Anolis sagrei: one gene and its partners. The protein of the gene in region 3 purifies or fractionates together with the protein of the main gene of each other region. This does not show direct contact. Links are inferred from orthologs where the notes say so. Each region holds a gene or a part of one and is shown on either strand. Other genes may lie near its edges.

Evidence for each region.
Region 1: the proteins of ETAA1 (region 3) and RPA2 purify together in Homo sapiens (affinity purification with western blotting; 4 studies listed by BioGRID, with this or other methods). This does not show direct contact. The link is inferred for Anolis sagrei from reciprocal best matches to the Homo sapiens genes ETAA1 and RPA2.
Region 2: the proteins of ETAA1 (region 3) and ATR purify together in Homo sapiens (affinity purification with western blotting; 3 studies listed by BioGRID, with this or other methods). This does not show direct contact. The link is inferred for Anolis sagrei from reciprocal best matches to the Homo sapiens genes ETAA1 and ATR.

What each region holds. Positions count from the first base shown.
Region 1 is NC_090034.1:86,980,537-86,988,088, reverse strand, and holds the start of RPA2 (replication protein A 32 kDa subunit), read left to right. Parts: upstream 1-4,503; 5' UTR 4,504-4,592; coding exon 4,593-4,608; intron 4,609-6,546; coding exon 6,547-6,641; intron 6,642-7,552. UniProt on the Homo sapiens protein: As part of the heterotrimeric replication protein A complex (RPA/RP-A), binds and stabilizes single-stranded DNA intermediates that form during DNA replication or upon DNA stress.
Region 2 is NC_090023.1:237,163,607-237,171,623, reverse strand, and holds the start of ATR (serine/threonine-protein kinase ATR), read left to right. Parts: upstream 1-4,934; 5' UTR 4,935-5,223; coding exon 5,224-5,282; intron 5,283-7,886; coding exon 7,887-7,978; intron 7,979-8,017. UniProt on the Homo sapiens protein: Serine/threonine protein kinase which activates checkpoint signaling upon genotoxic stresses such as ionizing radiation (IR), ultraviolet light (UV), or DNA replication stalling, thereby acting as a DNA damage sensor.
Region 3 is NC_090022.1:136,352,971-136,360,888, forward strand, and holds the start of ETAA1 (ewing's tumor-associated antigen 1), read left to right. Parts: upstream 1-4,881; 5' UTR 4,882-4,961; coding exon 4,962-5,133; intron 5,134-7,301; coding exon 7,302-7,439; intron 7,440-7,918. UniProt on the Homo sapiens protein: Replication stress response protein that accumulates at DNA damage sites and promotes replication fork progression and integrity.

The DNA of each region.
Region 1 (7,552 bases), on a different chromosome or scaffold from region 3:
GAGGATGTGGACAAGATACTTGGAGGAATGAGGCCCACCACGTCCATCCTAGACCCCTGCCCATCCTGGCTTCTGAGGGAGGCCAGAGGGGGATTGGCTGAGTGGGTAACGGTGGTGGTTAATGCCTCCCTTCGGGAAGGCAAGATTCCAGCGAGCCTAAAACAGGCTATTATAAAGCCGCTGTTGAAGAAACCATCACTGGACCCCACTAAATTTGACAACTTTCGGCCTGTTTCCAATCTTCCCTTTTTGGGCAAAGTCATGGAAAGCGTTGTGGCTTCACAACTCCAGGTACTCTTGAGAGACACGGATTATCTGGATCCGGCACAGTCTGGTTTCAGACCGGGACATGGTACCGAGACGGTCTTGGTCGCCTTAGTGGATGATCTGCGCCGGGAGCTAGACAGGGGGAGTGTGTCCCTGTTGGTGCTCCTGGACCTCTCAGCGGCCTTCGATACCGTCGACCACGGTATCCTTCTGGGGCGCCTTGCGGGAGTGGGTCTTGGGGGCACTGCTCTGCAGTGGCTCCAGTCATTCCTGGAGGGACGGACCCAGAAGGTGTTATTGGGGGACTCCTGTTCAACTCCACAGCCTTTGACCTGTGGGGTTCCTCAGGGTTCTATCCTGTCCCCCATGCTGTTTAATATCTACATGAAGCCGCTGGGTGAGATCATCCGGAGTTTCGGGGTGCGGTGTCATCTGTACACAGATGATGTCCAGCTCTGTCACTCCTTTCCACCTGCTACTAAGGAGGCTGTCGAAGTCCTGAACCGGTGCCTGGCCGCTGTAATGGTCTGGATGAGGGCGAACAAACTGAAATTAAATCCAGACAAGACAGAGGTACTCCTGGTCAGTCGCAAGGCCGAGCAGGGTATAGGGTTACAGCCTGTGCTGGATGGGGTCGCACTCCCCTTGAAGGCGCAGGTTCGCAGCTTGGGTGTAACCCTGGACTCATCGTTGAGCCTGGACCCCCAGGTTTCAGCGGTGACCAGGGGAGCATTTGCACAGCTTCGGCTTGTGCGCCATCTGCGCCCGTACCTTGGGAAGTCTGACTTGGCCACGGTGGTACATGCTCTGGTCACATCCCGTCTTGACTACTGCAACGCTCTCTACGTGGGGCTGCCCTTGAAGACGGCCCGGAAGCTGCAGCTAGTCCAGCGCGCGGCAGCCATGTTGTTAACAGGAGCAGGACGCAGGGAGCATACAACGCCCTTGTTGTTCCAGCTCCACTGGCTGCCGATTTGCTACCGGGCCCAATTTAAGGTGCTGGTGTTATCCTACAAAGCCCTAAACGGTTCCGGCCCAAAATACCTTGCGGACCGCATCTCGGCCTACGAGCCCACGAGGACCTTGAGATCATCTGGGGAGGCCCTTCTCTCGATCCCGCCTGCCTCACAGGCACGTCTGGCGGGGACGAGAGAGCGGGCCTTCTCGGTGGTGGCCCCCCGGCTGTGGAACTCCCTCCCTGCTAACATCAGACAGGCCCCCTCCCTCATGGCCTTTCGTAAGGGCCTGAAGACTTGGCTCTTCGAGCAGGCTTTCAACTAAATGCTACGTTACGGGTAATGACAACCGGATTGAACTATGACTACGAGATTGACTATGATTCCATAAATATGACGGAGCGGATTTTTAGTGTAAGTTAGATGTTATGTATTAGTGATGTTAATTGTTGTTCTGATTCCTTTGTAAAGTGTCCTTTTTGTACTGTACACCGCCGCGAGTCGCCCTAGGGCTGAGAGCGGCGGTTAACAAATGCAAGAAATAAATAAATAAATAAATAAATAGTTGCTGGGATTTATAGTTCACCTACAATCAAAGAGCATTCTGAACTCCACCAATGATGGAATTGAACCAAACTTCCCACACAGAACCCCCATGACCAAGAGAAAATACTGTCTCCTGATGGTCTTTGGCGACCCCTCTGACACCCTCCTCGCGACCCCCAGGATGAGAAACACTGCCACAGATCTCTTAGAAGCTTACCAAAAGGTCAAGGTTTTCCCTTGACATGAAGTCCAGTTGTGTCCGACTCTGGGGTGGGGTGCTCATTTCCATGTCTAAGCTGAAGAGCTGGCATTGTCCATAGACACCTCCAAGGTCATGTGGCTGGCATGACTGCATGGAGAAGCCTACTAGCCTCCCTATAATAATAATAATAATAATAATAATAATAATAACAACACTTTATTTGTACCCTGCTACCATCTCCCCAAGGGACTCGGTGCGGCTTACATGCCGAGCCCAAACACAACAATACAAGCAATAATCACAACAATACAAGCAATTAAAATAAAACATAAACATATAACATTATCAATAAGACTGTGCCAGTACAGCTGTACCAGAAGCTCCCATTTTGTTTGCTTTGCATTGAATGTTTGTTATAGTCCCAAGTTTCAGGGACTCTGCAGATAGGTGGCTTCTTTTGGCTGCAATCATAGGGCAAGCCACCTGTCAATTATTGTTAGGTTCCCTGGTCCTGCCCCTTTTTGAGTTTTGGAGGGAATAGGAGCCTTTTTGAGTCAGTTCTCACAGAGAAGCCTTTCGCACAGGACATAAAACGAAGAGCTCCTGTAGAAAGCTTCATCTTCTACGGCTTGGCCGGGGAGATATACAGCCTACAGCTTGGCCAGGGTTATACAGCCCACAGCTTGGCCGAGGATCATACAGCCTTTCAGCTCCTTTGCTGAGGGACTTCAGCCAGCCATCACAGCAACCTGAATTCCTTCTTTTCCCCTGGAAGTCTACAAAGCTCTGTTGGGGCAAGGGTCGCTTGTGGAAGCCAGATGCAGTTGGTACCGGGTGCAGGGGCTCCATGCCAACAGAGGCAAAGACAGACTGCCCAGATTGGAAGTTAAGGATTTCCCCATTAGTTATTATATAGTTATGAAGATAGTGCCTGTTCCCAGTGAACAAGATTGCAAGAGCCTATAGACTGTTATGAAAACTTTTAAGTACCTGTTTGTTTTTTATCAATAAATAACTTTGTTGGACTTACTTTAAGCCTCTACAGAACTTTGGGGGGGTCCAAGGGCCTTTAATCTGAGGCAGCCCCGGCGTCCCGTTGGGCACACAGAATTTATGTCCTGTCTACAGTCATATGCAGATGACACCACTCTGATGGCCGAAAGCGAGGAGGAGCTGAGGAGCCTTCTAATCAAGGTGAAAGAGGAAAGTGCAAAAGCTGGGTTGCAGCTAAACATTAAAAAAAACAAGATTATGGCAACAAGAATGATTGACAACTGGGAAATAGAGGGAGAAAATGTGGAGGCCGTGGCAGACTTTGTATTTCTAGATGCAAAGATGACTGCAGATGCAGACTGTGGCCAGGAAATCAGAAGACGCTTACTTCTTGGGAGGAGAGCAATGTCCAATCTCGATAAAATAGTGAAGAGTAGAGACATCAGACTGGCAACAAAGATCCGCCTAGTCAAAGCCATGGTATTCCCTGTAGTCACCTACGGATGTGAGAGCTGGACCTTAGGGAAGGCTGAGCGAAGGAAGATCGATGCTTTTGAGCTGTGGTGCTGGAGGAAAGTTCTGAGAGTGCCTTGGACTGCGAGAAGATCCAACCAGTCCATCCTCCAGGAAATAAAGCCCGGCTGCTCACTGGAGGGAAGGATACTAGAGACAAAGTTGAAGTACTTTGGCCACATCATGAGGAGACAGCAAAGCCTGGAGAAGACAATTATGCTGGGGAAGGTGGAAGGCAAAAGGAAGAGGGGCCGACCAAGGGCAAGATGGATGGATGGCATCCTTGAAGTGACTGGACTGACCTTGAAGGAGCTGGGGGTGGTGACGGCTGACAGGGAGCTCTGGCGTGGGCTGGTCCATGAGGTCACGAAGAGTTGGAGACGACTGAACGAATGAACAACAACAACTACAGTCATATGCACAGGCCCAGCGCGCGACAGCACAAAGACAACAAAAACCCGATGGCTGAACTGTAAAAGGATGCAATTTCGTGACGCGCCCACAAGATGGCGCCAAAACCCCACATTGGAGCCGCAAAAGGCGCTTCTACCAAGGGTGCTGTTCTCGTTGTGTCCACTGGAGGGAGGCAAAGAGAACGGCCAGTAGGGCATTGCAGTGCTGCTCAGGAAGAAGCTCATTGGGAGAACTAGCCATCTTCTGCGCTGCCTGGGGATAATGGGGACTGATGTCCAACACAAGCCCCTCAGGAGAAAGAATCAAAGGAGGCTGAGCCATCAGCCCTCCATTGTGACGGAACTAATAACCAATTATAACAGGCACGGGCAAACTTGGGCGTTCCAGGTGTTTTTGGACTTCAACTCCCACCATTCCTAACAGACTCAGGACCCTTCCTGAGGGCCTGAGTCTGTTAGGAATGGTGGGAGTTAGTCCAAAACACTTGGAAGGCCCAAGTTTGCAAGGCCTACCTTATGAAGAAGCTGATTGGCGGCTCGCGGTAGGGGCGGGGCCTGTAGCTGGCCTATCCCGAGCGCTGCTTTTTGCGCGCGCCTTGCTGAAGAAGGAGCGCATGCGCCAGGGGAGCCCGCTGATTTTCTTTTGCCGGTGGGACAAGGTTGCCATTGCTGCGTGTCGCGGACTTTCTTCATCGTCGCGGGATGTGGGCCGGGACCGGTGAGGGAGCCGAGAGGAGGGAAAGCGGGGCCGAAGCAAGGGAAGGCTGTGGGGGGGGAGGAGGAGGAGGAGGAGGGGGGGAGGGGGCTTCTTTGAACATGTCTGAACTCAAGGGAAATAGTTGAAGCCCTCAAAGGCTTGAGGCCTAGATGTCGGGAGGATGGAGTGCCCCTCCATTGAAGGGCCTGCTTGAGGTCTTAGGCCTGGTGGAGGGGTGGCTTCTCCTTGTGCTCTTTTCAGAGCAAAATACTGTGATTTGGGGCCTTCTGGGAATTTTAGTTTTTGAAAAGACTCTTACAGCAGGCATGTATAACTATTATACTATGATTCTATGACAGGCCTGGGCCAACTTGGGCCCTCCAGGTGCTTTGGACTTAATAGTAATAATAAAACTTTATATATATCCCCTCCCATCTCCCCAAGGGGACTCGGGGCGGCTTACATGAGGCCAAGCCCAACAACACATCAGTAAAACAAGACAGCAAGCAAATAAAACAGTACAATTAATATAACTCACATATAAGCAATAACACAAAAAATTAAAAATGTATGGCCATAAATAGATTAAAATTTTAAAATAAACACTACGCGAACAGAGGTAGGATGTCTCTAAGCAGAAGGGTTTTAAAGGATAATGTAGGAGATCAACCCAATGGGTAGTTAAGGTGCTTCTGAGGACATTTTGCTGGGAATTGGTCAGAGCAAGGCATCCTTTAAGCGGCTGAGAGGGAAAAGGAAGGGGCCTGAGGCTGTTAGGAATGGTGGGAGTTAAAGTCCAAAACACTTGGAGGGAGGGCACAAGTTTGCCCATGCCTGGTTTAGAGGGCATGCTTATCAAGTTTCCAAATGACACCAAATTAGGAGAGATAGCCAATACTCCAGAGGACAGGATCAGAATTCAAAATTACCATAACAGGCAGTGACAGACTTTGTATTTCTAGGTGCAAAGATTACTGCAGATGCAGACTGCAGCCAGGAAATCCAAAGACATTTACTTATTGGGAGGAGAGCAATGACCAATCTCGATAAAGTAGTGAAGAGTAAAGACATCACACTGGCAACAAAGATCCGCATAGTGAGGAAGACCGAGCGAAGGAAGATAGATGTTTTTGAACTGTGGTGCTGGAGGAAAGTCCTGAGAGTGTCTTGGACCCTGAGAAGACCCAACCAGTCCACACTTCAGGAAATAAAGCCCGACTACTCATTGGAGGGAATCTATTAGAGGCAGAGATGAAGTACTTTGATCACATTTAGTGCCCAGATCGAGGGAAGTCATGGTGCTTCTCTATTCTGCTTTGGTCAGACTTCACCTGGAATACTGTGTTCTGGTCACCACAGTTTAAAAGAGATATTGACAAGTTGGAAGGAGGGTGACTAAAATGATTGAAGATCTGGAGACCATGAATCCCTATGAGGAGTGTCTTGGAGAGCTAGGTATTTTAGCCTGCAGAAGAGAAGGTTATTTATTTCCTAATGGAGACTCAAAGTGCCTAAAATTACAAATCATACAATTAAAACCCACAGAAGCAATAAAATAGAAATAACCGGACTTTAAAAAAAAACATGGTAAAATCACTTAAAAACCTGTTACTCACGTAACATAATTGTAAGTTAATAAATAATTTTAGCATGTATATTTACATTTGTGTGTTGTTTTTCTTGCCTGCCACCTGAGATTTCTGTACAGAGGGCATGCTATAAATATTTCAATTAATAACTGAATTCCTTTGCCCAGCTCTTGATGTCGCAGGTGGAAGTGTGACATCTGGCCTGCACCCATCTGCCATCTGTCAGAATGTGCAGTTGGTACTGATGGATACACTTTAACCTGTTTCTGATCTATTTCCAATTTGCTCCCTACTCTTAAACCCCAGAGACTGAGAAGTATGAAAGTAACTTTGCAGCTTTGCCCTATTATTTTTATCTTTTGAATTTCAGGTGGCTATGACAGTGCATATGGGGGAGGAGGAGGATATACACAATCGCCTGGAGGCTTTGCATCCCCTTCTGCGACACAAGATGAAAAGAAATCGGTAGGTTTCAAGGTGCAGGTTATGACCTACAAAGCACCTATCTTTGTGACTGCATCTCCCCCATGAACTGGTGTGGGTCCTTAGATCCATTGGGGAAGCCCTCCACTTGCTCCCACCATTTTCACATGCACAGTTGGTGGCGATGAGGGAGAGGGCCTTCTTGGTGGTGACCCCACAACTTTGGAACACCCTCCCCAGGGAGATTAGGCAAGCCCCTACACTGTCCTCCTTTCATAGGGATCTGAAAACCTGGATGTTCCAACAAGCATTTGGGAATGACTAGTCTCTACTTATAAATGCCCAGTCCCTAGTTCTCCAGATAGTACTCTGTTCTCGGCACTTTTCCCAATCCCCGACCTTATGCTATGCTGTTTTGCACTATCCCATGCCCAGTCCTTTTTATAGCCTGATCAGGTCCATCTCAGTATTTTTAGTTATCGTTTTTTGTCATTCATTTTTTGAACGAGTCTTAATGCTGTTGTTTCATACCTTAATGTTTTACTTAATTGTGTTTTTATCTGATTGTTATGCTTTGCTATGTTTTATTTTAATCGTGTTTTTTGTTTTAATGGATTGTTTTGTTTTGATGTTTTGTGGACATTTTGTCCTATGTTTACGCCGCCCCAAGTCCCTTCGGGCAGATTGAGGTGGGGTATAAAAATAAAATTGTTGTTATTATTATTAGCTTGCATGAAAAAGCCAGGACTTCTTTTCGAAATGGGAATGGAGGTTTTCCTTTGAAATAGTTTTCTTTTTTTCTGAAAGCATGGCCTTATAAGATGTTGAGGCATAAAAATAATTCCTTTTACGGAATAACATGTTTGTGTTATTCCACTGAGCACAACACATTAGTATTATTTGTTTTCAGAGTTAATTGTTAAGGGTGACTGGAAGAAAACAGATGGGATAAA
Region 2 (8,017 bases), on a different chromosome or scaffold from region 3:
GGAGCATAGTGTCTAGATCTAGGGAAGTAATGCTACCCCTCTATTCCGCTTTGGTTAGACCACACCTGGAATATTGTGTCCAATTCTGGGCACCACAATTCAAGAGAGATATTGACAAGCTGGAATGTGTCCAGAGGAGGGCAACTAAAATGATCAAGGGTCTGGAGAACAAGCCCTATGAGGAGCAGCTTAAGGAGCTGGGCATGTTTAGCCTGAAGAAGAGAAGGCTGAGAGGAGATATGATAGCCATGTATAAATATGTGAGAGGAAGCCACAGGGAGGAGGGAGCAAGCTTGTTTTCTGCTTCCTTGGAGACTAGGATGCGGAACAATGGCTTCAAACTACAGGAGAGGAGATGCCATCTGAACATGAGGAAGAACTTCCTGACTGTGAGAGCCATTCAGCAGTGGAACTCTCTGCCCCAGAGTGTGATGGAGGTTCCTTCTTTGGAAGCTTTTAAACAGAGGCTGGTCAGGGGTGATTTGAATGCAACATTCCTGCTTCTTGGCAGGGGGTTGGACTGGGTGGCCCATGAGGTCTCTTCTAACTCTTGATTCTATGATTCTATGATTAGCATTGAGTAGCCTTGCAGCTGCAAAGCCTAGTTGTTGCTGTCTGGGGACATCCTTTGTTTGGGAGGTGTTAACTGGCACTTGATTGCTTGCTGTCTGGAGTTCTCCTGTTTCTGAGTGGGATTCATTATTTACTGTCTTATTTATTTATAGTGTCAGAAGCGAATTGAGGGTACAGTTATAATATATTTAAAAATACAAAGTTGAAAACTTGGCATTAGGCTAAATGTCCTTTGACCAGAAGCTGGCCACTTGGAGTGCCTCAGGCGTCGTGAGAAGGTCCTTAATTGGGGACATTCTCACTTGCAGCATGATTCTGGTGTTTTTTTTAATATTGGTAGCTAGATTTTGTTCATTTTCATTGTATCCTCCCTTCTGTTGACATTTTCCACGTACTTGTGGATTTCAGTGGTTTCTCTGGGGACTCTGACATGGTAATTCTTAGAGTGGTCCAGCATTTCTGTGTTCTCAAATAATATCCTGTGTCCAGGTTGGTTCATCAAGTGTTCTGCTATAGCTGACTTCTCTGGTTGGAAAATATATATACAATTCTAGTGTATGTTTTGCATTTGATTCATACATTATATTCTGCACAGACTGAGCAAATCCAAATGCATGCTGTCAAAAACATTGCCAAATAAACACTCTGTGGGTGCATCTACACTGTCAAATTAATGCAGTTTAACATCACTTGAACTGCCACGGCTCATTGCTAAGGAACCATGGGATTTGTAGTTTAGTTATGCATCAGCACTCTTTGACAGAGAAGGTTAAAGAACTTATAAGAACTTCTATAGCTCTCATGACTCTACAGAACTGAGCCATGGCAGTTAAAGTGGGGTCAAACTGCATTAAATCTACAGTGTGGATGCACACTTTCTTCAGCTTTCCTAGATACCACAACGTAATATATATCGATGCACAAGAATGACAGAAAGTGGTGTGATGTGTGTTAAAGCAATTTATTTTCAGGATGCCGGCTGCTGAAAGCTGCTTTCCGTCTCAGACCCCATCTACACTGACCATTTAATGCAGTTTGAAACCAGCATTGAAGAAAATGGTTTAGCTGTGCCAATTATTACATAGGAATTCCTAGCATCAGTTTGAGAACTGGATGGTAATTACACAAACCACAGAGTACTGCTGCGTATTAAAGGCTTTCTCTCACAAGGTTTTGTGGGAGTTTGTTGTCTGGCCACCAAAGTTTGAATCTGTCTTCAAACTGTATTAAATGGTCAGTATAGATGGGGCCTCAGCACTCAGACATGAAGCAGGAAATCACCCTCCAGATTGGCTCTCCTCTGCCCATCAGTGTTTAATCATTCCCGTCCTCGTCTTCCCCCTCCACACAATGCGAGTTCAAGGCCTTCTTTTGATACTTTGTCTTGTATTTTCTGTATCGAAATTTCAGCAGAGGAAATGGAAAAGAAAAAGAAGAAAATCCACTTTTCTTTGTACAGATACGCTAATAATAATAATAAGATTCTGCCACTAATGTGATGACATGGGGGTTTAACTCTTGATGAGGCAGTACAGATTTGTATGGATGCAATCTGATCTGGGATATGTCCACACTGTAAGAATGAATGCAGTTTGATGCCGCTTGAACTGCCATATGGCTCAATGCTATGGAATCATGGACATTGTCATTTTGGAAGGCCTTTAGCCTTCCCTGCCAAAGAGCCAGGGTGCCTCACCAAATCCCAGAGTTTCATAGCATTGAGCCAGGGAAGCTAAAGTGGGGTCAAACTGCATTAATAACAAAGTGTGGACACACCCAATGATTCCAGCCCAGGGTTTGAACTTCTTGGAAGTCACACTCTCTCAGCCCCATAAAAACCTTACCTTAAAGTCGCCATTAAGTCAGGAAAGGCTTGAAGGTACACAACAGCAAGGCTAGTAAACACAGTAAGAGTCTATTTTGAAGTATGTCCCATTGAGGCCCCTTCCACATAGCTGAATACAATTCCACATTTTCTGCTTTGAAATCAAGATTTTCTGTCTTGATATTCTGGGTTATATGGCTGTGTGGAAGGGCCTTAAGGCCTTTTCCATACAGCTGAATAAAATCCAACATTATCTGTTTTGAACTGGAATATATGATAGTGTGGACTCAGATAACCCAGTTGAAAGCAGATATGGTGAGATTTTCTGCCTTGGTATTCTGTGTTACATAGCTGAGTGGAAAGGCCCTCAGTCCACTTCGCCATATATCTCCATCCGTGGTCATCTCGATCTACCCAGGAAAATCTCCTATACATACTGGGCCCTAGGGAAGTACACCTGGAAGCTACAAGGCGTAGAGCTTTTTCGAACTATGCTCCAATTCTGTGGAACTCATTGCCTCCATACATTAGAGCAATGTCGGAGTTGCGACCTTTTGTAAAGGCGCTCAAGACTTGGCTGTTTGGTTGTGCATTTAAGTAATCAGATCTAATTTGCCAAATAGTCACTGTTGAATGTTTTTATGTTGAATGTTTTTATATTGTGTAAATGCTATTTTAGATTGTAAGTCGCTCGGAGCACCTTGGTGGAGAGCGACTAATTAAGAAATAAAGTGAAGTGAAGTGAAGTGAAGTGAAGTTCAAAGCAGATATTATGGGATTTCCTTCCTTGATATTCTAGATTATATGGCTGTGTGTTAAAATTGCTGGAAGAAACATTAACAACCTTAGATATGCAAATGATACCACTTTGATGGCCAAAAGTGAGGAGAAACTGAGGAGCTTTCTAATCAAGGTGAAAGAAGAAAGTGCAAAAGCTGAGTTGCAGTTAAATATATAGGAAAACAAGATTATGGCAACAAGAATGATTGATAACTGGCAAATAGAGGGAGAAAACGTGGAGGCCGTGACAGACTTTGTATTTCTAGGTGCAAAGATTACTGCAGATGCACACTGTGGCCAGGAAATCAGAAGACGCTTACTTCTTGGGAGGAGAGCAATGTCCAATCTCGATAAAATAGTAAAGAGTAGAGACATCACACTGGCAACAAAGATCCACCTAGTCAAAGCCATGGTATTCCCTGTAGTAACCTACGGATGTGAGAGCTGGACCTTAGGGAAGGCTGAGCGAAGGAAGATAGATGCTTTGAACTGTGGTGCTGGAGGAAAGTTCTGAGAGTGCCTTGGACTGCGAAAAGATCAAACTAGTCCATACTTCAGGAAATAAAGCCCGACTGCGCATTGGAGGGAAGGATAGTAGAGGCAAAGATGAAATACTCTGACCACATTATGAGAAGAAAGGAAAGCTTAGAGAAGACAATGATGCTGGGGAAAATGGAAGGAAAAAGGAAGAGGGGCCGACTAAGGACAAGACGGAGCGATCATATCTAGAAGTGACTGGATTGACCTTGAAGAAGCTGGGGGTGGTGACGGCCAACAGGGAACTCTGGTGCGGGCTGGTTCATGAGGTCACAAAGAGTCGAAAGCAACTGAACGAATAAACAACAGTGGCTGTGTGGAAGGGCCCTGAGTCCACACTGCCATATATCTCAGTTCGAAGCAGATATTGTGGGATTTCCTTCCTTGATTTTCTGGATATTTTTTTGTCGTGTCAGGAGTGACTTGAGAAACTGCAAGTCGTTTCTGGTGTGAGAGAATTGGCCGTCTGCAAGGATGTTGCACAGGGGACGCCCAGATGATTTGATGTTTTTATCATCCTTGTGAGAGGCTTCTCTCATGTCCCCGCATGAGGAGATGGAGCTGATAGAGGGAGCTCATCCACCTCTCCCCAGATTCGAACCTGCGACCTGTCGGTCTTCAGTCCTGCCAGCACAGGGGTTTTACCCACTGCGCCACCGGGTGCTTTGGTGCTATATTCTGGATTATACGGCTGTGTGGAAAGGCTCTGAGTCCACACTGCCATATATCTCAGTTCGAAGCAGATATTGTGGGATTTCCTTCCTTGATATTCTGGATTATGTGGTTGTGTGGAAAGGCCCTGAGTCCACACTGCCATATATCTCAGTTCAAAGCAGATACTATGGGATTTCCTGCCTTGATATTCTGGATTGTGTGGCTGTGTGGAAAGGTCCTGAGTCCACACTGCCATATATCTCAGTTCAAAGTAGATATGGGATTTCCTGCCTTGATATTCTGTTTATATGGCTGTTTGGAAGGGTCCTGGATTCAATAGCACCTAAACTGCAGAACAGAGGGACACTGTTATAGCTCTATGTTCTACTGTAGTTGCCACGGCAACATTCTGTGGCATTCTGGGTTTGGTAGTTCAGTGAGACCCGAAACCTCTTTGGCTGAGCGGGCTAACTATCCCTCGCTTAAACTCAAAATCCCAGCGTCCCACGCGGTGTTGCCATGGCGATGAAAGCGGAAACTAGTCCTGTCACAGCTTAAAGGGATAGAAGAGGACCTGCAATTGAATATGTTGTTACAATTTAGTCAATGAGTGAGATAACGCGATAGTTGAAACAGAACTTCCTCTATTAATATTAATTTAAAAGAAGGCGGCATCGTGTTTTCATAGCAATCTCTTTTGAAATTGGTCGTGAGAGAGAGAGAAAGAGAGAGGGAGGGGGAAGGGCAAAACGCCTTTGTGGGAAGTTTGGCGCCTGTCAGCTCCCGTCCAGAGGGCGGCTTCCCTGCCTAGAAGAGGAAAAGGAGGCGGGAAACGGCACTGAGTCGAAGTGAGGATGGGCGACCAGGGGCTGGAGATGGCCTCCGTGATTCCTGCCCTCCGGGAACTGGGCAGGTAAGCCCCAAACCCTCCAAAACCACCCAAAGAACAGTAGCAACAGTTGCACCTTTGCTGTTGGGTGGTTCAGGGTACACAGTGTGGAAAAATAGAACATTATATGTGACACAGCTGTGGAGGCTTTTAAACAGAGGCTGGATGACCATCTGTCGGGGGTGCTTTGAATACAGTTTTCCTGCTTCTTGGCAGGAGGTTGGACGGGATGGCCCATGAGGTCTCTTCCAACTTTATGATTCTATGGTTTTTGTTCCTGGGTTATAAATGTAATTTCCTAATTCCTAATCAGGAAAACATGGGGAAGCTGCTTAAAATGCAAAAACCATCTCTTTATCTATATAAATAAAAATGTAATGTTGCTTTGTGGGATTAACATAACTCAAAAACCACTGGACGAATTGCTGCCAAATTTGGCCACAAGACACCTACTAACCCAAGGAGTGAGCAACACTAAAAAAATTGATTTTGTCATTTGGGAGTTGTAATTGCTGGGATTTATAGTTCACCTACAATCAAAGAGCATTCCGAACTCCACCAATGATGGAATTGAACCAAACAAGGCATAGAGGACTCCCATAACCATCAGAAAACACTAGAAGGGTTTGTGGGCATTGACCTTGAGTTTGGGAGTTGTAGTTCACCTACATCCAGAGAGCACTGTGGACTAAAACAATGAAGGATCTGGACCAAACTTGGCACGGATATTCCATGTGCCCAAGTAGGAACACAGATGGAGTTTGGGAGAAATAGACTGTGACATTTGGGAGTTGTAGTTACTGGGATTTATAGTTCACCTACAATCAAAGCATTTTGAACCCCACCAACGATAGAATTGGGCCAAACTTACCTCACAGAATCCCCATGACCAACAGAAAATATTTAAGGCCATTCAGTCCAACTCCCTTCACCAGAGCAAGAAAACGTTTTCAAAGCCCTCCTGACAAAGAGCCATCTAGCCATAGATATAGATAGATAGATATGATTCACACACATATAGTATCATAGATTTCAAAGAGACTCCTAAAAAAGGAAAATTATATGTTGTATGATCCAGAGTAGGCAAAACAGACAATCTCCACATCAACACTGACAAAGAAACAGCAAGAAATACTGTTTACCCACAAGTATAAAAAATTACATATATTAGAAACCAACACTTCCTCATTACTTTATTATCCAGATCACCAGACTGAGCCACAGCAACGCATGACAGGGAATGGCTAGTTTACTATATTTATCTACCGCCCCTCTCAGGGAAGTTTACAATCAGCATCAAAAACATAAAATACGATTTAATCAATTAGCTTAAATATAAAACCAAATAAAACAGTCAATGTCAACAAAAACATATATCAATTAGAGTCTCCTTGTTTTTGCGGGACATACTGCAGCACATCTTGCTAGAGTTTTTAAAATGAATATCTCATAGAGTCTCAACCAATGCAACATAGTTTGTGGCAGCCACAAAAATGAAGTTTCTGGAGTATAGCGACAACTTTCAACAGGCGTGGGCAAACTTGGGTCCTCCAAGTTTGTTGACCTTCAACTCCCACAATTCCTAACAGCCTCAGACCCCTTCCTTTCTCCCTCAACTGCTTAATTAAGGAATTGTGGGAGTTGAAGTCCAAAACACCTGGAGGGCCCAAGTTTGCCCATGCCTGACTTTCAAAGTAAGTAGCACACAATTAAACAAGAAATAATGCTTTTAAACCAGAAACTGATTTTTTTTCTATTTTGTTACATAGTGTTGTTATTGTTTATTTATACCCCACTTTTTCTCTCCGCAAAAGAGACTCCCCTTAGCTCAGTATTGGGGTCACGATTTCTAGATGCCACTTAGATATGTACACAAATCTGTTTGCGACAACATATGGTGTTTTACTGTGTAGAAAATGCTTCAGCCTTGCTTCACGAAAAAGGAAAATTTGTCTCCTTAGCAAGCCTTGCAAATCCTGTAAATGTTCGGTATTTATGCTTGTTTTACATACTTGAGGGTATGTTGTTGCTGCTTTTATTTGTATCCTGCTTATCTCACTAAAAAAGAGACCCAAAGTGTCTAACATTAAACGCAATACAATGTATAATTTAAAACATAGAAAGCATACAAACATTAAAATACAATTAAACATTGTAACTATTAAAATAGTTAAAACCATTAGAACCTATTCACATAATATTTCCATTTGGCTATTTGAGGGAAAAGGCAGTTGGAAGCATAGCTGAAGTGGCATTCCCATCTGTAAGAAAGGTTTCTAAGCAAGACGCACAACAACAGTATTAAAACAATTATGCATAACCTACAGATGAAAAGTTGCTTCATAATGTGCTGCTATCTGTTAGCCAGTATATGTGCATGGTTGTGATTGATGAAAATCAAATTGTAAAGCTGCAAACGATGAAATGTAAATGGTCATTTACAAATTAATGCTGATGACATAGACATCCCCACTGCATTACTGGTAATGTAGTGGGGATGTGAAGTGAAACCCATAGTTTTAATTAAAGCCACAATTGATGGAAATGAATGGCTAGATAACTTGTGACATTCAGAGTAACATATGAAAGTAGAGAGACAATGCTAATTGTTAAATACATTAATTCCAGTGCCACCCCAGAGGAATACAATACTGTTGTGCAGAAACCAAGACAAATTCTCTGTCAGTTCATTGATCGAATTCTAGTGGATGTAGATGTTGGTAAGTAAAACAAAACTGTTAAAGAGGCTAGATTTTGAA
Region 3 (7,918 bases):
TGATGATCTTCCCCATGTGACCCTGGCTGTTGCCACGTTTCTTTCAGAGGCAGCCAGGATTGGAGAATTATACCTGAAATATACCTGGTACCTTTTTGTAGTCTTTTACCTATGCTCATAGCCATCTGATATGGCTTCGGTTTTAATCTCATATTTTAACCAGTTTTAACTGTCACTAATTTCATCCGAGTGTTCAATCAGTCAGGTGTTTTTAATCTTATTAACCTTGATATTATGCACACTTATTGAGCAATAAGGGCCTCTGGACTATAATAAAATGTTGTTGTTGGTAAAACTTTGCTATTTTTACCAACCAGGGCAGAAGATATATATATATATATATATATATATATATATATATATATATATTATATATATATTTTTCCATGGATTCTTGCTGTTATTGTTTTCCTTTTTGATAGTTTCAGTATGAAGAAAAACACCTACGGCTGCTCAGGACTGGTGCAAATGAAATCCACATTCTGTGGACTTTATTCTAGCAAATTTATGGTGCTTCTCACTCACCCCCAGAACACCATGTTTGTACCAATGGGAATAAGTCTTCTCCAGACAGATCGCAAGGCACTGGCTAAAGTCTCAAGAAATTCCTGAAATATTTCAATATAAGTGGTGCTTGGAGAAGAGAAAGTTTAACATATTTGTATGCAAAGTGGTTTTAGACTGAGCAGCCATCTCTCTGGCTTAGCACAAAAGTATATTTGGCCCTCCACAACAACATAAAGCTTAGGGGAAAAAACACTCCCAAAAGTTACTGCACGGCTTGCACGGTGTCATTTTTTTGCCTGCTAACAGCCATGGCTACAATGCACCACTTTTCAGCATAATTATAACTTGGCAATTCAAGGTCAACACAGGCTGCATCAATCCTGTAGAATGAATGCAGTTCAACACCACTTTAACAGTCATGGCACAATACTATGGAATCCTGGGAGTTGTAGTTTGGAGAGGCACCAGCACGCTTTAGCAGAGAAGACTAAAGGCCTTGCAAAACTACAACTCTCGTGATTCTATAGCACTGAGCCACAGTGGTTAAAGTGGGGTCAAACTGGATTAATTCTACAATGTAAGTGTCCCCCACAACTCATTCCTTGGAGTGTGTTTCGATTCAGCCAATGGGATGTAGAGGAGGAAGAGTCACATGGGTGGCTGCCTTGTGCTGCAGCAGAACATCTAGCAAGGAAATGGGGAAATGAGCTACCTGAAGAACCAGGCTCACTGGATGTATTTATTTTTATTTAGGAAAAACTAGCCTGTTTTAGATTTACTTGTTCACCTTCTTCCATCTGCTCAAATGAAAGGGACTGCTGCCACTGCCAGAAAAAGTAAGTCATTGTGAGGGCTGCTTTGCAAAGCTGGCTTCTCCAAAATAACAGGACAGAACATACACTTGGCCTTTGTTGGCTTGTTCTGAGCAGGTTTTGAGAAGAGAGTATTCTCAGTGCTCAGGCAAGAGACACAGGGCAATAATGAGAAGAGATGCAGGGCAATGGGGAATTGAATGGTTGAGTTTGTGTGCTGCTCCAAAGCATTGAAATGCACTGCACAGCATTGTGTGGCTAAGAAAGGGGGATTCCAAGCAGGTTACTCTACTTTGAATTAGAATGGTCAGGGAAACCAAATAATCTTTCCTAATGATGATGTTGTATGTCCAAGTCATTTCAGCTCTCGTGCAACCATAAAACATGCTTATCACAGGATTTTCTTGGTAAGATTGATTCAGAAAAGGTTTGTCATTGCCTTCCTGTGAGGCTGAGAGAATGTGACCTGCCCAAGATCACTGAATGGGTTTCTGTGCCTGAGCAGTTTCATACCCTGGTCTCCAGAATCACAGTCCAATGCTGAAACCACTATACCACACTGGTTCTTCTATTAGAAACCGTAACTACAGTAATAGTGCTACATTAGTTGATCAGAGTAATGGGTAGCAAATCTAATTCCTGACTATTTTATAGGATGAGGGTTTTTTTAAAAAAAAAAGTGGTATGTGTAACTTCTATTATTTGCTTTGATTCTTTGTTGTAAAATGGTTTTCACTGGTTGTATATTTTAATGGCCATTTTGAATATTTTTAGTGTTTTTATATTTGTTTTTAAATTGTAAGCCATCTTGAGTCCCAGTTGTAAGAAAAAATCCTGAGTACAAATATGCCTTCAGGCAAAACTAAACGGGGGAGGGGGGGGAGAGATTGGCAAGGAGCAGCTCATAGTCATAAGTACTGAAAATGTATTGTAACCTGTTTTGATCACACTGTCACCATTTAATCGTTTTTTTAACTTTTGAATTGTGCTTTTTAAACTTGACTAAGTGCGAGATTGTTAGTTGCCTTGAGTCCCCTCAAGGAGCAAGGTGGGGTATAAATAAAGTTAATAGTAATAAATAATAATAGTAAAATGACCTTATATAAAATGGAAAAAATCAAGCCATTTTGGAACGTTTTCAAGCATGGATGTTTGAATCCGTGGTACAGAGGGCTGCCTTTATTTGGCCTCTTATGTGCCTGTTCCTCCCTCCCACAACCCCAAATGAAATCATATGTTTTCCATATATAATGATTAGAGAAGGGTCAATGTGTATATTGAAAGCAGCTGAGCAATTTAAGTGGAGAACAGCTAAGAAAGTAGTCCTCATATGCACTTATTTGGGAGTCAGCTTGCTTATCCTGGCCTTAACTTCTGAATCATAATAATGCACAGGAATAAACTTCAGAACTATAACCTTGTGGGGATTTGGGCATACTTAAAACAATTCAATTCAGTAGCTATCGGCCCCAAAATAATCATGGTGGGAATGACTTCCTGGATAAACACACTCAGGTGTGCATCCCCAGACATATTGGTTAGAAATGCATTCAAGGCAGGTGCTTATGACTTAAGACAGAAAAAACAGGTGCAACTCAGCTGAGCTAAACTGTTTGAAGTTGGGCAGGCGGCAGAAGATGCTCGTGGGTCTTGTAAAAGAGAGGGGCAAAAGCCTTACTACTAAAGAATTATCATTGTCAGGCCTTATCTACACTGCCATATATATCAAAAATGTGTTATATGGCAGTGTAGATGGGGCCTGAGAAATTTCTGGGAAATAGAGAAGTAAAAATATGAAGGCTACTCCATTCCAGTTGCATGTTTGGTTTTCAGAAGTATGCTGTCTGTCCATGGAGACCCCACCAAATCTTACGTTGACAACTCTATCAGTTTTGTGCCTGCAAGCCATTTCGAACCTCAAGCAAAACCTTTGATTGGGTCTTCTTGGCAAAATTTGTTCAAAAGAGATTTGCCTCCTTCTGAAGCTGAGAGAATGTGACTTGCTCAAGGCCACCCAGTGGGTTTCCACGGCTGAGCAGTGATTCAAACCCACCCTTAACCCCCGTACCACAATCCAGCCTTCAAATCACTACATCACCAGATAGTTGGCCTTCTCTGCTTGCAGGTTCCCTCGTCCTCTGCTACCAGTGGCTTCTGGGAGCTATAGTCCAAAATATGTGGAGGGGCCCTTAATCTCAGGTTGCAGCTACACTGCAAAATTGATGCAGTTTGACATAACTTGAATTATTGTGGTTCAGTGCTATGGAATATTGGGAGTTGTAGTTTGAGACACCTTCGCTTTTTGGCAGAGAAGGCTAAAGACCTTGTCAAACTGCAACTCCTAATACTCCATAGCAGTTAATCCAGGCAGTTAAAGAGGTGTCAAACTGCATTGATTTTACTGTGTAGAGGTACCCCATGCTTTCACAAACGGTTATACTGCTATTTCACAGGGCCCAACCTATGGAAACTGAGGGTGCTCTTGGGCAGGTCTCGCGCTCTCAGCCTCAGAGAAAAGAAGAGGCAAACAAATCTAGCCAGCTCCATGAAACTTAGGGTCACTATGAGACCCCTTCTACACCGCCATATATAATCCAAATTATCTGCTTTGAACTGGATTATATGGCAGTGTAAAGTCAGATAATCCAGTTCAAAACAGATTATGTGGATTATCTGCCTTGATATTCTGGATTATATGACTGTGTAGAAGAGCTTTAAATCATAAACGATTTGTAACCCACAAAACAAATGTCCATAGAATCTTTTTGAGATCAATGGTTTTGGACTTCAACTCCCAGAAGCCCCACCCAGCATGTCTAATGGTTAGGAATTTTGGGAGTTGAAGTCCAAAAGCCTGGGAGGAACAACATTTGGGGACCACTGAGGGCCCTGCCACACAGCCATATAATACCTGCTTTGAACTGGGGGCTCTTCCATTCAGCTATACAGCCCAGATTATCAAGTCAGGTAATCCACAATATCTGCTTTGAATTGAGGGCCCTTCCATGCAGACCTATATCCCAGAATATCAAGGCAGAAAATCCCACATTATCTGTGTGTGGACTCAGATAACCCAGTTCAAAGCAGATGTTGTGGGATTTTCTGCCTTGATATTCTGGGATACAGGGCTGTGCGGAAGGCCTTGAGGCCTCTTCCACGCAGGCTGAATAAAATCCCACTTTATTTGCTTTGAACTGGAATATATGGCAGTGTGGACTCAGATAACCCAGTTCAAAGCAGATATTGTAAGATTTTCTGCCTTGATATTCTGAGTTATTTGGCTATGTGGAGGGGCCCTTAGTTATCTGAGTCCACACTGCTTTATAACCCAGTTTAGAGCAGGGCCCTGGCTGGCATCAAAAGATTACAAAGCGCCTTTAGTCACTGAACACTAGCAACCCTCCATCCATTTGCCAGTTTCTGTGTGAATCGCCTCCTTTTGCCATTCCCGGCCTCTCCAACCAGATTGGGCTAGCCTCCTCTCCCACCCGCCCCTTCTCAAAATAGCTGAACCAATCTTCGCCTCCGCAGCGTCGGCTCCAGCCAATCAGCGGCAGCCTCCGAGCTCGGGCCAAGATGGCGGTGTGATGAGCGTGTGGGGAGTTGCCGCCGCCGCCGCCGCGGGAGTTTTGTATTTTCCTAATGGCGAGTAAACGGCGGGCGGCGGCGGCGGCGACAAACGTGGAGGAGCTTCGCCTCAAGAGTCCCGCGATGAGGAGGAGGAGCAGGCGAAAGACTGCGGCCGAGGGTGCCCAGGAAGCCAAGGGAGGCGAAGCGGCGGGAGAGGCCCCCGCCTCCCCCCGGGGCCCTCCAGGTACTCGCCCCTGCCTCCCAATCGCACATTCCCCCCTCGGTGCCTAAGCTGCCCTGGGAGCAAGGGAGGGCCCTCCCATGGCAGTGGCCTGCCTTTGGTTACAGTGCCTATCTTCCCTGATTGCAAGCTGGAGCGGATGAGAGTTGTTTCTCCGCCCCTCACGAGAAAAACAACAACTAGTGGCATGTTTTGCAGTAAAGCTGAGAATTGGACTCTGCAAAAGTTGCACTAGAAACAAGGAGCTCCTTCCCAAGAAAAGGAAGTCGTTTGGGGTTACAACCTCCATTAGCCCCCACCACTGCTTGAAACTGATGGAAGTTGTGATTCCCAAAACGTCTGGGGAAGGCCCCTTGGTTGCTTAGACTGGAATCCATAGAAACAGCTTGCCTCTCCCAGTTTAAGAAAAGACCCTTTTCTGATATTTTGATCCTGAGCAGGATCCTTTGCTTGCCTCTTTTCCTTCTGTACTCGCTTTTTGCTGTAGCTTCCAGGTGTCCTTCCACTGCAAAAAAGGAAGTGTCCCATGGTGCCTCAAAAATTATAATAATAATACTTTATTTTCCCCTGTAGGGACTCATGATAATGAATGAAATTATTATAAAAACCTCATTTTCTGTGTGGCATAAGTATATTATAATCTGTGCTGAGTCGTGCCTAATAATATGCCGCATCCATACAAGCAGACAGAAAGGATAGACTTTTTTTCTTTATGCAGAAATGAGGCCTCTTCCACACAGCTGAATAAAATCCCACATTTTCTGCTTTGAACGGGAACTGTTCTTGAAGTATGGATATTTTCTCTCAGGCCCCTTCAATGTGTATAAAATCCACATTGAACAGGATTGTATAGTAGTGTGAGATAACCCAGGGCCCTTCCACACAGCCCTGTATCCCAGAATATCAAGGCCGAAAATCCCACAATATCTGCTTTGAACTGGGTTAGTCCACATTCAGATAATGTGGAATTTTCTGTCTTGATATTCTGTGTTATAGGGCTGTATGGAAAGGCCCTGAGAACTTGGTTCTTACTGGCTGAATTAGGCAAAGTTTATGCAAAATTAGGCAAAGTGATATCCTAAACAAATCTATTCAGGATCAACTCCCCTTGTAGCACAGAAATGCCAAAAACATAAAATGCTTTCAGATAAGGTAAATCAAAATTGATGATTATGTTATCCACAGTTGGGGCATACCAGGCCCACTTGAAGGTGTTACTCCGCGTCATTAATGGCTTACTACACAATAAACTGGTAGTTTTGAGTCACCCCCACATAGTATGGCCAGTGGTCAGGCAGTATAGGAACTGCAATCTGAAATACTTTAAGGGACATGTAATGCATGTGTGTCCAAGTTGCCTGTCATTTTATGGCAACCTCATGCATTTCATAGGATTTAATCCACAGTTATACAATGGTTAGACAGAGCTGGGATAAGGCATTGTTACCCCAGAGTGGATCTTTCCCTGAAATGTTCATTGATGACTGCAGGGAACAGTTACCTTGGGATTGATATGAAGTGATGACATCCATATTATTGACTCAAGTGGGCTGGAGAAAAAGGCATAACTTACATGAAACATTTTTATTCCCCTCTTTAACCATATTGTACTCCTAGATCTGGATGTAACAAGAAACAATACTCCCCATGCCCTGTGTTTTAGAAGTTGCAATACCACAGGCAAAGTGGAGTACGAAACAAGGAAACTGAGATGCATGTTTTTAGTTACAAAGTGCTCAGCATTGCAAACTAGAATTGAAACAGCTGAACAGAGGAGGAACCAAAAAAAATCAGTTCAAATGCATTGTTAAAGTGGCTATGCTTTTTATTGCCAGGTGATTTATGTGTGAAAATTAGGGAGAGAGGGTAAGCCATGAAGTTGACTTCTAGCAGAACTTACATTAACCATTTTCTCAATACAGCTACCCTCCTGAGGCAGTGCTGGCCTGTGGAATAACCCTCAAACTTGTCTACAGGTCATGAAAATCCACTTTTGGGAGGCCACAAACTGTCCTTGACTCGTAAAAATATATATGGTACCTATTGCTGTTTGCTCATGTTCATCATCAGAAGAGTACAGATGTCCATGCAATGTTACTCATTTTATTCAAGAATATTGCTTGGTTTTTATTATTTTTACTAAAGTACCTTTTTGCATGTCTATCACACAGAAACTAACTCATATAAGACTCCCAAAAGAACACGAGCAGGCAGGTCACGCTTGCCAACGTTCAGTTCTCCTGCAAATGAAACCGATGTGCAGCAAGAGATCTTCTGGGATCCTCAGTCACCAATTGCATATAAGCTGGGTAACTACTCATTGCAGTTGTTTTTATTTAAACTCCTCCTTTGTGTAATCTAAACTTTGAGTTGTGGAGTAAAAGGGTTTAATTGTTTGGATTTAGATTATCTTGTTAGAATAACAAGACAGTCTCTTGTTAAGGCCATTGGTGGATGCCTTGCTCTGGATTTCCCATCCCTGGTAGTGTGATGGCTTCCCATATTGGACCATTTTATCTGTGGTGCCCTAAATTAGACAAGTCTTCCCAGATTGATTTTTCTGGAATTTGCACATTTGTATTTACTAAGTAAAAAGTGTTATTTTTGTCTGGAATCTTGTAGATCAACTATAAGGCCATAACTTGTTGTCCAGGTGGCAGTAGCAATTGTTGCTGCTGGTTCCTCTCCATAACGCAAATGCAGCTAGAGAGAGTGTGTATTCATGCAGTGGCTGAGAAGATGAGTATTACTAAGCCCAGAAGTGTTTGGCTGCTATTGCATATCTGCA